Oryctolagus cuniculus: one gene and its partner. The protein of the gene in region 1 interacts with the protein of each later gene in a biochemical or structural test. Links are inferred from orthologs where the notes say so. Each region holds a gene or a part of one and is shown in the gene's direction. Other genes may lie near its edges.

Region 1 (6,999 bases):
ATGGAGACTGGGAGGGGCCGCTCTTGTCCATGAGGAAACACAGAGTGTGAGCTTGTTCTTCTCTCTTGAGAGTGAACAGTTTATAAGGTCAGAAATGGTCCATCAGCCCCAGACCTTTCCCTCTTCTGCTTCCTGTCTCGTTTCTACCTAGATTTTCAACCTTATCTCTGGCAGCCTCTACAGCTTCTCTGATTTCCAAATGCTTTTTGTATCCTAACAACCTCACCTCTGCTTTCCGACCTTACCTCCTAGCCTGCTTTTCCCTCCTTAACACCAGCATTTTGCCAGGAAGAAAATGGGGAGGAGCCTGGAACTGCTCATTTTGTTAATTAAGAAGCATCCAATCCCCATAAACCAAGCTGGGTCACATCAGTAGCAGCCAGGCAGACTTGTCCTTCAGTGGCCTGGGCGCCACCTGCTGCTTCCAGTGGCTCCTCCAGCCTGCTAAGGGGTGGTACTGGGAGGGTGGAAGAAGGCGGGGCAAGGCTGTAATCCTGAGTTACAGTGAGAATACTGTCAGGGGAGGCAGCTCACTTGGGGGGCAGAGTCTGAAAAGGACTCAGGGAGTAGGAGAGAGCATAGAATGAGTTGTGCTGAGTATTAAATATGAACTTGGTAACTTGGAGAGAGTGGGGACTGAGACAAGAGGACTGGGCTGTTTCTCTGACCTTCCTTCGAGTCTTTCCTGTCCTCCTAGGATCTGTTTCCTCTTCTGCAAAACTGAAGAGTTCACCAGATAATTTTTGAGATCCCTTTGGAACAGAGAATCATAATTCTAGCTTGACTGCCAGGGAAGCCAAATATAGGATCTGGCTCCCTAGGGAGGCCCCCAGTATTCAGGTTAGAGGGAAGATGGGGCCAGAGAAGGCCTGGATGGCTGGAACAGCCAGCATTCGGTCTGCTGCCAGGCTGGCTAGAGTCTGCAGGCCTCCAGAGCCCTTGGGAATGATCTCATATAACGTCTTCATGTTGCAGAGAAGGAAGCTGTGAGAGGGAAGGTCATGTGATGAGCTGAGACAGGGCTCTGAAAATCCCACACTAGGGAGGGTGCAGTGCATCCATGGGGAGGCAAAGAGAAAAATACTGGACTGGGAAACATGAAAACAAGGCAGGGGCAGGCTGGGAAAGGAAGTAAGCAGGGTCAGGGGGCAAAATGGGCCCTTGAAAGAAAGACAGGTGGCCCAGATTCCCCTGGAGAGGGCAGGGCGGTGTCCTCGGGTGACCCCGCGTTTCAGACCTGCCCTTACACTTCGTGTCCCAGTCTCTCCCTCGGAGGTCTTCAGTGGTCAGGGCTGGTCCTTCTGATGTAAATTACTGTTTCCTCTTTAAAATTATAAGATAGAGACAGCCTTATTACTGTCAGCTCTGGTGAATCCCTGAGTCTCCACCACCTGGGGGCCTCTTCTCCGAGGAGAGTCTATTCTAATAGCCTGACACCACGGGCCAGGTGTAGCCAGGCCGCAGAGGAGACACCGCCACCATGGTCGCGCTTTCGCTGAAGATCAGCATCGGGAATGTGGTGAAGACGATGCAGTTTGAGCCGTCTACCATGGTGTACGACGCCTGCCGCATGATTCGGGAGCGGATCCCGGAGGCGCTGGTCGGCCCTCGTGAGTCCCACTCCCTGGGGGGCTGGTGCGGAAGTCCTCAGTCCAGTCTTATCCCCAGGCCCTCAGCCTTAGGGAGTGACCCCGCTGTGGCCGAGGGCTCCTCACACCTTGGGTCACTGCGCCCCACTCCCTCCTTTTTTAGGCCTGAGACCGCGGGAGAAATTGTAAGAGGTGGTGGTGCGGCCATCCAGTCCCAGTGGGGCCTCCGTCAGTCTGAGGTCACCCATCTTTTCTTTTAGCCAGCGACTTCGGGCTGTTTCTGTCGGATGATGACCCCAAAAAGGGCATATGGCTGGAGGCCGGAAAGGCTTTGGATTACTACATGCTCCGGAACGGGGTGAGTACCACCTCAGCAGGGACCGCCTCCGGCTTTCAGCACCCGCGTGTCGCCCCTGTCCCCCGCTCGTGCTAGTTTCCTATCATAGGGAGCCATAAGACCCCGGTTTTGAATGAGCCACCATAGTCTGTCTTATAAGAATCTCCTTCCTCCACTCTGGCCAAGTAGAAAGGAACGAATGCCCCTTTCCTCTCCTGACAGGACACCATGGAGTACAGGAAGAAACAGAGACCCCTGAAGATCCGGATGCTAGACGGGACTGTGAAGACCATCATGGTGGATGACTCCAAAACGGTCACCGACATGCTCATGACCATCTGTGCCCGCATCGGTAAGGGGCTGGGCTGGGGCGGGGGTGCTGCGACTTGGCCAGGAGACTGGGGAGCTATGAAACCAGTCCCTTCCCCCAGGCATCACCAACCATGACGAGTATTCACTGGTCCGAGAACTGATGGAAGAGAAAAAGGAAGAGGTGACAGGGACCCTACGAAAGGACAAGACACTGCTGCGAGATGAAAAGAAGATGGAGAAACTGAAGCAGAAATTGCACACCGACGACGAGTGTAAGCAGAACCGGAAGAGAGGGCATTGGAGAGGCATTGGAAAGGCAGCTGTTGATTATTTATTCAGTGTCCACTTTTGTAAGGCACTGTGTTACGCTGGGGATACAGCAATGCTAGCGTTGTGGCCCAGAGGGTTAAGCCGCCAGTTGGGTTGCCAGCATACTGTAACAGAGTGCCAGTTCATGTCCTGGCTGCTCCACTTACGATCCAGTTTTTGCTAATGCAACTGGGAACGCAGTGGCTGATGCCCAAGTACTTGGGTCTCTGCCACCCTTATGGGAGACCCAGATGGAGTTCCAGGCACCTGGCTTTGGCCTGGCCCAGCTCCAGCTGTTGCAAGCATTTGGGGAGTGAACCAGCAGATGGAAGATCTCTCTCTCTCTCTCCCTCCCTCTCTTTGCCTGTCACTCAGCCTTTCAGATAAATAAAATTCCATGGCAGGGGGAGATGAGGGAAGATGGAAAATGAAGGAGTAAACAGGACAGCCAGGGGCCATGGGTTGAGCACTGAGAGGCCTGTCTGTGTCCCAGTGAACTGGCTGGACCACGGCCGGACGCTCAGGGAGCAGGGGGTGGAGGAGCACGAGACGCTGCTGCTGCGGAGGAAGTTCTTCTACTCGGACCAGAACGTGGATTCTCGCGACCCTGTCCAGCTGAACCTTCTTTACGTGCAGGTCTGGTGGAGGCTTGGCTGGGGGCAGCAGGGGCTGCGGAAGCACAGTGGGGGTGTCCCTTCACCCACAGCCTGCATTCGCCCCATCCCCTTGTGCTCTGCAGGCGCGAGATGACATCTTGAACGGCTCCCATCCTGTCTCCTTCGACAAGGCCTGTGAGTTCGCCGGCTTCCAGTGCCAGATCCAGTTTGGGCCCCACAATGAGCAGAAGCACAAAGCTGGCTTCCTTGAGTGAGTGACCCACATCGCATATGCTGTCTGGGCCCGGGAATCCCTGTCTCCACCCTCTCCATTTCCTCTTCTGAGGGGTGCCAGGGTTTGACCCACCTGGGGACCTTCTTAGCTGCCGTCATCCATTTGTCTCTGCACTGGCCCCGTGTGGAATCCAAATGTAGCCCAGTGTCTCTGCCCTGGCCCTTCCCCCTGAAGCAAGCATGTAGCTGTTTTGAGATTCTCTGAAAAATTTTGTTGGAATAGCCTAAAGAAAACAGGATAAAATTTTCCTTGTAGAGGTCTTCCTATTAGAAGTTCTTACACACCTCATCCACTGGTATTTCTTGGAATGCATAGAGTTTGGTGTGGCTTTCTCAGCATCCTAAATCTATGATGATCCCTTTAGAGTGCTTTCTCATCTGGTTCCCTGAAGTGGTGTTCTAGATCCTCTTTCCCTCGGGGACTGAGCCTCCAACTTAAAGTTCTATCAGTCCCTTCCTTGCAGGGAGGGACACAGCCCCATTCAAGGGCTCATGCTAAGTCATTCTGCCTCAGAAGACAACCAGGCTCAGGTCCCTTGCTGTCTTCCTTCTCCCTAAAGATAGCACTGGCCTAGACATTTCCTCACACCCCTAGGCCCACAGTTCATGGCCCACATGCCCCTGATGCTGTCCACCACATGCTGACCCTCCCTTTTCTGGTGTAGCCTGAAGGACTTCCTGCCCAAGGAGTATGTGAAGCAGAAGGGAGAGCGTAAGATCTTCCAGGTGAATGGGGGTAGGGGAAAGTGGGGTGACCTGGGAGCTTTGCTGCTTAATCCTACTAAGTGGATCCTTGCCCCCCACCTCTCCTTCCCCTGCTTCTACCCACCACGCTGCTCTTCTGCCTCTCCCTTGCCAAGAAAGCAAAAGACTTGGACCTGTGGTCTCGGCTCCATGGCTGTTTGCCGTGGCATTCAATCCAGTGTTCTTGTTTTCTTTGCCTCTAACATGGGATAACAGTGCCTGCCCTGCATAGGATTGCTAGGAGAATCAGATGAGATAGTGTACCTGCAATTGTTGGGAAAGCCTAATCCTTGTTCCTACGTAAGGTGTATACTCCGCCCAAAAGGCTCTCTCTTTGACCTTCCATTTCCTAACTGTCCATTCACATCTCTGGAATGTTTGCAAGTTCCTTAACCGTATCCCTTGTATCATTGCTTGTGCGTATCCCTGGTGAGCCCCCGTCCTGTTCCCCTCTCATTTCTCATGTCATGTGTCCCAATGTAACTTTTTTTGTGTCCCCATAATACTCTCCCATTAGAGTTAACTTCCCACTTCAATCCTAAATTGTGATATTATGCCCCATGTTGCTAAATTCTTCCCCATTTCATACTTCAAGGCACACAAGAATTGTGGGCAGATGAGTGAAATTGAGGCCAAGGTACGCTATGTGAAGCTAGCCCGTTCCCTCAAGACTTACGGTGTCTCCTTCTTCCTGGTTAAGGTGGGTTACAGCCTCCTCCTCCTGCCCTCCTTGTTTCTGCAAGTCTCTGACTGCCATCTGCCAGGTTTCCCACCATTCTCTTCCTTGCTCTGACTCTGTGAAACCTGCCTGTTGCCCATCCTCTGCTACACTCCTGCCTACCCTGGATTTTTCCTTGTGCCTAGGAAAGCCTTGTCCTGGGCCTATCCACGGACACCCTCACTTAGCCCTCCCGGCCACCTCAGTGTGGTCTAGAGCTTATCTGGTCTTTCACCGCTTCTTGGCCCTCTGATGCGTAACAACCACGCCAACCTCTGCCTCACAGGAAAAGATGAAGGGGAAGAACAAGCTCGTGCCCAGGCTTCTGGGCATCACCAAGGAGTGTGTGATGCGAGTGGATGAGAAGACCAAGGAGGTGATCCAGGAGTGGAACCTCACCAACATCAAGCGCTGGGCCGCCTCTCCTAAGAGCTTCACCCTGGTGAGTCTGGGGGCTCCAGTGAAAAGGGGCTTCAGGATTCCCAGAGAAGGGCAGCTGCACTGAGCATGACTCCAGGGAAAGGGGGAACCTAGGAGCTATTGGCGGAGCATGGGGATGAGAGTGGGTGGAGAAGCCGCCTCCCCGCAGGGGAGTGGTGCTCGGTCAGCAAGTGGTAGACCCACTCTTTACAGTCAGCAGAGGGACGGCGTAAGCAGCAAGGGGAGCTCACAGCCATTCTTGGCAGGGTTGGGGGGGAAGGTGATAGAGAAACAAACCCCCATCCTCAGCAACAATTATAGACAGTAGAGTTTTTTCCCATGGCTTTCTATTTTGGGTTATGAGTTGAAAACTAATACCTACTTGATGAAGTGCCCCAATGATGAAAATAGACATGGTAGTAAATGCTATTTTTTCATGTTGGCTGTGATGCCAACCTTCGTGTATGGTCACGTAATAACAAGCATGGATGTCCTCCCAATCTTGCCAGGGAGAAAGTAATGGAGATTTCCTAAGTGACATGTTTGGATTTTTTTTTTTTAAGATTTATTTTATTTTATTTGAAAGGCAGAGTTACTTGGCCGGCGCTGTGGCTCAATAGGCTAATCCTCCACCTAGCAGCGCCAGCACACCGAGTTCTAGTCCTGGTCAGGGTGCCGGATTCTGTCCTGGTTGCTCCTCTTCCTGTCCAGCTCTCTGCTGTGGCCTGGGAGTGCAGTGGAGGATGGCCAAAGTCCTTGGGCCCTGCACCTGCGTGGGAGACCAGGAGAAGCACCTGGCTCCTGGCTTCAGATCAGCATGGTGCACCGGCCATAGCGGCCATTGGAGGGTGAACCAATGGAAAAGGAAGACCTTTCTCTCTGTCTCTCTCTCTCTCACTGTCTACTCTGCCTGTCAAAAAAGAAAGAAAGGAAGGAAGGAAGGAAGGAAGGAAGGAAGGAAGGAAGGCAGGCAGGAAGGCAGAGTTACAGAGAGACAGAGCAGTGAGAGAGAGGTCTTCCATCACTGGTTCACTCCCCAAATGGCCACAATAGCCGGTGCTGAGCTGATCAGGAGCCAGGAGCTTCTTCCGAGTCTCCCATGCGGGTGCAGGGGCCCACGGACTTGGGCCATCTTCCACTGCTTTCTCAGGCCATAACCAAGAGCTGGATCGGCAATGGAGCAGCGGGGACTCGAACCAGCGCCCATATGGGATGCTTGCACTGCAGGAGGCAGCTTTAACCACTACACCATGGCACTGGCTCCTGTGACATGTATTTAAAACTATATAACGTAAAGGCCATTCCTCAGAAATAAAATATTTCCCTCTAAGGAAGAAAATAAAAATAATAGGTCTGAGAAAGATGGGTTTCCTGCTAGGGGGCTGTTGGCATGGGAAGACTCCCCTCCATGAGCTTGACCTTGGGTCTCCCGTCCTACTCATTTCCATCCTGGGTGGACTCAAGCTCTCCCCTCTAAGCCCCCATCTTGTCACCTAGGATTTCGGGGATTACCAGGATGGCTACTACTCAGTACAGACCACTGAGGGTGAGCAGATTGCACAGCTCATCGCCGGCTACATTGATATCATCCTGAAGAAGGTGAGCCCGGCCTGCCCTAGGCTGTCTTGCTCTCCCTTAACCTTCTCCCCAAGCCAGCCCCTTAGAAAATGCTGAATGGGG
Region 2 (6,999 bases), on another chromosome or scaffold:
CCTTTGTCTTCCCCCAGCTGTTTTTTCTCAACAGACTGTTTTCCCAACTTTGATCTTTATTAAGAGTGTGAGCAACAGGTAGTTTGCTACTGCAGCCCTCATTGTTCTGAGAGGTCGGAGTTTTTACAAAATGTTCGTTTATATACAGACAGAACTCCCATCTACTGGTTCACTCCCCAGATGTCCACAAGGCTGGGACTGTGCTGGGCTGAAGCTGGGAGCAGAGAACTCGGTGTCCCACATGGTTGGCAGGAAGCTAGCACTGCCGCACACCTGGGTCTGCATTGGCAGGAGGTTGGAATCAGAAGCCAGAGGCCATCCTCAAACCCACTTGTAGGGTGTGGGCATCATTATTAACCTCTAGGCTGACTGCCCGCACTAGCTTGAGTCTTTCCCCCTTAAGAGTTTTTAGTCTTTGCTGGCCAGGCTTACAGTGGCTTCCAAGCACAGTCGCTCCCAGACTGCGCAGTAGAGTGCCTTGGCCATAGTGAGTTGAGGACCTGGAGACTTTGCCCAGGGGGTAAGGAACACACTCCTCCTCGTCAGTATCAGGCCTTGGGACTGCACGATCCTTGCTGTTTTACCTCGTTGTAGGAACAGAATGCCCTTTCAACCATGTAGGTGGTTCTACAGATGAGACCCTTATTAACCAGTGCCTGTTTGTGTTTTGTAAGACTTTACAATACTGTCTTGACTGGTCATCTTATGCATCCCAGGAGCATTTCAACTTTCTTGTGTATAATTAGTCTTTCTTTTAGTCCCTTTCTTCAGAAGTCATTTTGGAAAACAGCAAATTGCCAGAAGGAGTAACGATAAATTACAAATCTTACTGCAAGAACGGGGTGAATGGCACAGGGGAGAACGGAAGGAAGTGCTCCAATATCTCCATTGGAGATGAGGTATTGCTTATTTATAAGCAAATGCAGTTCATGATTTGAAACATACTAAAAAGAAATGAGTGGGTTTTTGAGATAGTTTTTAGCAGATTCATGTTGCTTAGCTTATTGTTCACTTAATCTTGCTTTTTTCCTTCAAGGTTCACTTTGAAATCAGCATAACTTCAAATCAGTGTCCAGTTAAGCATTCTGAAACCATTAAAATCAAGCCTCTGGGCTTCACCGAGGAGGTGGAGGTGGTCCTTGAGTTCATCTGCAAGTGTGAGTGCCAGGACACAGGCATCCCGAGAAGTCCCCAGTGCCACGATGGGAATGGCACGTTTGAGTGTGGGGCTTGCAGGTGAGCCAGGACTGTTGGAGTGTGCCCAGATGTGCACTGCCTGGAGAGCGAGGGGCAGGCTGTGTGTCAGGACAGCCACAGAAGATCTCCGCTTGGAGCAGAGACATGATTTGTCCCGGGCACTGTTGCTCACCACACGATGAACTTGATGGTCTTGTGTGTGGTATTTACAGAGAGCTCTCTCACCTGTCTCTTAACAAGACTGCTCTTTAAAATGAGACTGCGCAGTCTCTCAAGCTGTGTATCCAGCAAACTGTTACGACAGCACTTGGTTTTTCTGTCGTGAGATAGAAGTGCAGCCTTTGTAGAGCAGAGTAAGTTTATGTAAAATTTTGGAAATAGCATTGAAACATGTTTTTGGAAAAACGTGAAACCGATAGTGGTGGCTTTCTCTGGGAAACAGAATTGGGAAGCCTTCAAGTATGTCCACCTTCCACATTGTTGGAATGATTTCTTAAAAATAAGTATGTGTTGTAAAATTAAAAAGCAAGTTATTTTTCAGAACATAGAATATACTACTAATAACTTTAGTCCAAGTATTTCAAATATTTTCACACTTTGGTTACTTTTTAAATTAAAAATTAAAACTCAGTATATTCCGAACATAGTTTTCTCTTTAAAGGAGACTGGGACATTTGATCTAGATGTCGACTGCAGATGACTGGGCCAGCAGGGTGTTAACCACGAGGAAGACATGTGCCGTCTTCACTGTCAGTGACACCAACTGGCTGTCCTACAGAAGTTCAGATGTTACAGTTCTCTCTTTCCATGTTGTACATACCCTCTTGGAGTCATGCAGATCTGTTTTTAGTGAGACATCATTCAACGAAAATGCCTTGAAAATGCCCTGAAAATGCCATCTCTTTCGTCCCTTTCTGTATATGTAGAATCAGCTTGCAGTGTCCATGAGCATAAGTTGTTCTAGAAATGTACATGGCATCTGAAAAGTCTGGGCCAGTGGGATAAGTTTGTTTTTAAACAGCATACTATATTTTCAGTCAGTGCTCTGTTCATTTTTATTCAGCTTCTTGCTCTTTCTTGCATATGTTTCTTGTACTTTTAAGGTTACAATGGGGCCATAGTTCATGTAGTTACAATTGTAATAGCACATCATTTGAAATTACAGCTACCATATTTACAATTAAGTTTATTCTGTTTCTCCAGATATTTTTCTATTTATTATTTGCAGCATGAAGAGACTGTTCATAGTTTCGTTGCCTCTCCCATGGTTTGCGATTGTAGGTTATTTTTATTTTATGCAAGTGCAATTTTGGAATCTTTGTTCAGGTGCAACGAGGGACGTGTAGGCAGACACTGTGAATGCAGTACAGATGAGGTGAACAGTGAAGACATGGATGCTTACTGCAGGAAAGAAAACAGTTCAGAAATCTGCAGCAACAACGGGGAGTGCGTCTGTGGGCAGTGTGTGTGCAGGAAGAGGGACAACACAAATGAAATCTATTCTGGCAAATTCTGCGAGTGTGATAATTTCAACTGTGATCGCTCCAATGGCTTAATTTGTGGAGGTGAGGAAAGGGTCTGAGATGTGAAGTGATCCCACTGGAGTGACAAAAAGTCTCGAGGAATTAGAGGGCTCAGTCCGTCCCTTGGACCCACTCCTTCCATATTGTGACTCCCTTTTACTTCTGAGTCAGTGCTGTGATTGTATGTTTTTAATCCTAGTTTGTGACATGGTATTTTTAATCGCAGGAAATGGTGTTTGCAAGTGTCGTGTGTGTGAGTGCAATCCTAACTACACCGGCAGTGCGTGCGACTGTTCTCTGGATACGACGTCTTGCATGGCCACAAACGGGCAGATCTGTAATGGCCGGGGTATCTGCGAGTGTGGCGTCTGCAAGTGTACAGATCCCAAGTTTCAAGGGCAAACCTGTGAGATGTGCCAGACCTGCCTGGGTGTCTGTGCGGAGCACAAGTACGTATCTCCTAATTATTTGAAGGCGTTGATGCTTAACTGTGTGTGATCACCAGAACTGGAGCAGGGCCCCTGTTGAGCATGCTATAAATACAGTGTCTGCCATGTGGAAACCCACTCTTTAATTCGTGAAAACTCTTTCTTATTAGCTAGTGCCCGTTACAGGATATTGAAGTGTGTTAGAGTTGTAAGATTATTTTGATTCAAGTTTACTATGTAATTAAATCTATTGTTACCTTTGTTAAATTGCTGAAATACTTTTTTTTTAAAGTTTATTGATTGATTGATTTGAAAGGCAGAGAGAGAGATTGATCTTCCATCTGTTGGTTCACTCTCCAAATGGCCGCAATGGCTGGAGCTGGGCCGATCTGAAGCCAGGAGCCTGGAGCTTCTGGGTCTCCCACGTGGGTGCAGGGGCCCAAGGACTTGGCCATCTTCTACTGCTTTCCCAGGCCACAGCAGAGAGATGGATCTAAGAGGAGCAGCTAGGACTTGAACGGGTGCCAGCACTGCAGGTGGTGGCTTGCTTTACCCACTACGCCATAGTGCTGGCCCCTGATGTACTATCTTCTGACTTGGCCAAATGGCCATAGTGCTGGCCCCTGATGTACTATCTTCTGACTTGGCCAAATGGAAGGCTTTCCCCTTGAAGCATCACTATTGTCCCAGTAACACACTACTTAGGTTACTTTGGTCTTGTGTTACATACTTACTATGTCACAGGGCTAGTTTTATTACCTTTTTTTAATTGCATTTTCAGCTTGAACTTTAATGAATTTATAATTTCATTGGGGAAACTACCAGTCTTTTTAAAAGTTCTTATTAATTTGAGAGAGAGCAACCCAGATGCCCGCAGTGGGTAGGACTAAGCTGTGTTGAACACAGGAACTGGGAATGTTTTCCAAGTCTCAGACATGGGTGACAGGAAGCCACATACTTGGGGCATCATGGCTGCCTGCCAGGGTCGGTGTTGGGAGAAACTGGAGTCAGGATCTGGGGCTGGGAATCAAACTCACCTATTCCAGTGTGGGTGCCTTAACCACTAGGCTAAATGCCCACTCCCAGAGACTGTCATCTTCCGATGTGGTTTCCCATTGAGGAATAGCATGCCTCTGCAGTTCTTTTGTAGCTCCTAGTTGAATTCAGTCACCAGAGTTTAGCACGCAAGGTTAATGTTTAAGAAAATGTTGACCTTTTAAACAGCACATGTGTAATGCAGCGGTTTGTATCCTCAGAGAATGTGTCCAGTGCCGAGCCTTCAATAAAGGAGAAAAGAAAGACAAATGTGCACAGGAATGCTCACATTTCAACATCACCAAGGTGGAAAATCGGGACAAGCTGCCCCAGCCAGGCCAGGTGGACCCCCTGTCCCACTGTAAGGAGAAGGATGTGGACGACTGCTGGTTCTACTTCACGTACTCGGTGAACGGGAACAACGAGGCCATCGTGCACGTCGTGGAGACTCCAGGTCAGGAACCCTGTCCTCGCCTGTGTCCGTCCTGGTTAGGCCTCGTCAGATTCCCTGACACCAAGAAACAGCGTCAGCTGGACTGTCCAGGTCCAAGCTGGGCAATTTCTCATCTCTTACAGCTTAGAGTAGTAGTTAATTAACTGGAGAAGAAGCAGGAGAAGAGAGGGTTTAGGTTTGCTCAGTAGGGAATATGCAGATTAAAAGTGAGAAGTGATACAAGGCATGTAGGACATGCGGGATAAGAGTTATGTCGTCATTGGGGACGTTTAGATTAGAGTTTAATTTGGGCTTGGATACTGAGGAGGATAATTTGTGAAAGGATATAATAAAGTATTGAATTTGTTCAAGGTCTCAGCCAATGGAACATTTTTTATTGGCTTTTCTAGTAGCTTTTTTTAATAGATTCTTGGGAATTTTTCTCATGAGTATGCAGGTTTTTGTGCACACAAGTCCTGTTGCTCTCAAGTAAATGTGGGAATGGGACTTTGGAGCAGGTGGCAAGCCTGTGTTGAACTTGGTGAGAAGCTGCCCAGTGGTTCTGAGGTCAGTGTCCTCTTCTGCATTATCAGACAGCCGCTGGCAAGTGCTGCCCACTGTTGTTCTTCGGCAGTGTCTGTTGAACACCAGAAGTTGGATTGTGACGAATTGTCGACCAAGGTTTTTTTTCCTGGATCTTCTGTTACTGTTGTGTCTAAGAACAGCTTAGGTATTAGATTGTATCTTAGCATGGGGAGTGGCTTCTGTTGGTTGGAAACACTGTCTTTCCCCGCCTTTGTGCATGGGTAGGACTGTTTTTTTGTTGTCTCTGCCTGTGTGCTGGAGCCATGCCATACATTGGTAGCTTTCTATCCAGTCTTTTTTTTTTGACAGGCAGAGTGGACAGTGAGAGAGAGAGACAGAGAGAAAGGTCTTCCTTTGCCGTTGGTTCACCCTCCAATGGCCGCCGCGGCCGGCGTGCTACGGCCGGCGTGCTACGGCCGGCGCACCGCGCTGATCCGATGGCAGGAGCCAGGAGCCAGGTGCTTTTCCTGGTCTCCCATGGGGTGCAGGGCCCAAGCACCTGGGCCATCCTCCACTGCACTCCCTGGCCACAGCAGAGGGCTGGCCTGGAAGAGGGGCAACCGGGACAGAATCCGGCACCCCGACCGGGACTAGAACCCGGTGTGCCGGCGCTGCTAGGCGGAGGATTAGCCTAGTGAGCCGCGGTGCCGGCCTATCCAGCCTTGAAAATAGGTCATGTGAGTCCTCCAACTTTGTGCTCTTCCAAAAAGTTTTGAAACTCTTACCTAGTTCTTCACTTTCTGTATACATTTTAGAATTAGTATGCTGATTTTTTTTTTTTTTTTTTTGGACTGGCAGATTTAGACAGTGAGAGAGAGAAAGAGAGAGAAAGGTCTTCCCTCTGTTGGTTCAGAGGGAACCACAGTACGGCCGGCGCACTGTGCCGATCTGAAGCCAGGAGCCAGGTGCTTCTTCCTGGTGTCCCATGCGGGTGCAGGGCCCAAGCACTTGGGCCATCCTCCACTGCACTCCCGGGCCACAGCAGAGAGCTGGACTGGAAGAGGAGCGACCGGAACTAGAACCTGGAGTACCGGCGTTGCAGGTGGAGAATTAGCCTAGTGAGCCACAGCACTGGCTGAGTATGCTGATTTCTATAAAAATCTTGCCAGGTTTTTGATTGGGAATGCATTGAGTTTATAGATCAAATTGGGAAGAATTATTAAATATGACAGTATTAAGTCTTCAAGTTTTTTTTTTTCCCTTTCTGAGATTTATTTATTTGAAATGCAGAGTTACAGAGAGAGATGGAGAGACAGACACATAGAAAGATCTTCCGTCTGCTGGTTCATTCCCCAAATGGCCTTAATGGCCAGGGCTGGGCCAGGCTGAAGCCAGGAGCCAGGAGCTTACACGTGAGATTAACACATAAGACCTTCATGATTTTGAGGATACTATAAATGATACTTTTTAAAAATTGCAGTTTTTAATATGTAGAAATACATTTTATATAGGACTTTTGTTTCTTGATCATCTATGCTGCAGCCTTGTACACCCACTTAGTGGCTTTGGGGTAGGTCCTTGTGGTTCCTGGGTGATGGTGACCAGATGCAGAAGTGCTGCCTGGGTGTGGATGGGCTGTGCTCCTGGTGGACCTGTGTGTGTGCTCACTCCCCCTTTGATACTTCGCAGAGTGCCCCACTGGTCCTGACATCATTCCAATTGTCGCTGGTGTGGTGGCTGGCATTGTTCTTATTGGCCTTGCACTGCTGCTGATTTGGAAGCTCTTGATGATCATTCATGACAGAAGGGAATTTGCTAAATTTGAAAAGGAGAAAATGAATGCCAAATGGGACACGGT

What was found.
Region 2: the proteins of TLN1 (region 1) and ITGB1 form a complex in vitro, tested with the Homo sapiens proteins (3 studies listed by BioGRID and IntAct, with this or other methods). The link is inferred for Oryctolagus cuniculus from reciprocal best matches to the Homo sapiens genes TLN1 and ITGB1.

What each region holds. Positions count from the first base shown.
Region 1 is NC_091432.1:198,629,668-198,636,666, reverse strand, and holds part of TLN1 (talin-1), read left to right. Parts: exon of another isoform or gene 1-255; intron 256-1,447; 5' UTR 1,448-1,480; coding exon 1,481-1,610; intron 1,611-1,849; coding exon 1,850-1,947; intron 1,948-2,148; coding exon 2,149-2,278; intron 2,279-2,357; coding exon 2,358-2,510; intron 2,511-3,040; coding exon 3,041-3,183; intron 3,184-3,286; coding exon 3,287-3,414; intron 3,415-4,102; coding exon 4,103-4,163; intron 4,164-4,776; coding exon 4,777-4,881; intron 4,882-5,185; coding exon 5,186-5,341; intron 5,342-6,816; coding exon 6,817-6,918; intron 6,919-6,999. UniProt on the Homo sapiens protein: High molecular weight cytoskeletal protein concentrated at regions of cell-matrix and cell-cell contacts. Involved in connections of major cytoskeletal structures to the plasma membrane.
Region 2 is NC_091444.1:108,928,223-108,935,221, forward strand, and holds part of ITGB1 (integrin beta-1), read left to right. Parts: intron 1-758; coding exon 759-899; intron 900-1,036; coding exon 1,037-1,236; intron 1,237-2,523; coding exon 2,524-2,762; intron 2,763-2,946; coding exon 2,947-3,169; intron 3,170-4,404; coding exon 4,405-4,637; intron 4,638-6,830; coding exon 6,831-6,997; intron 6,998-6,999.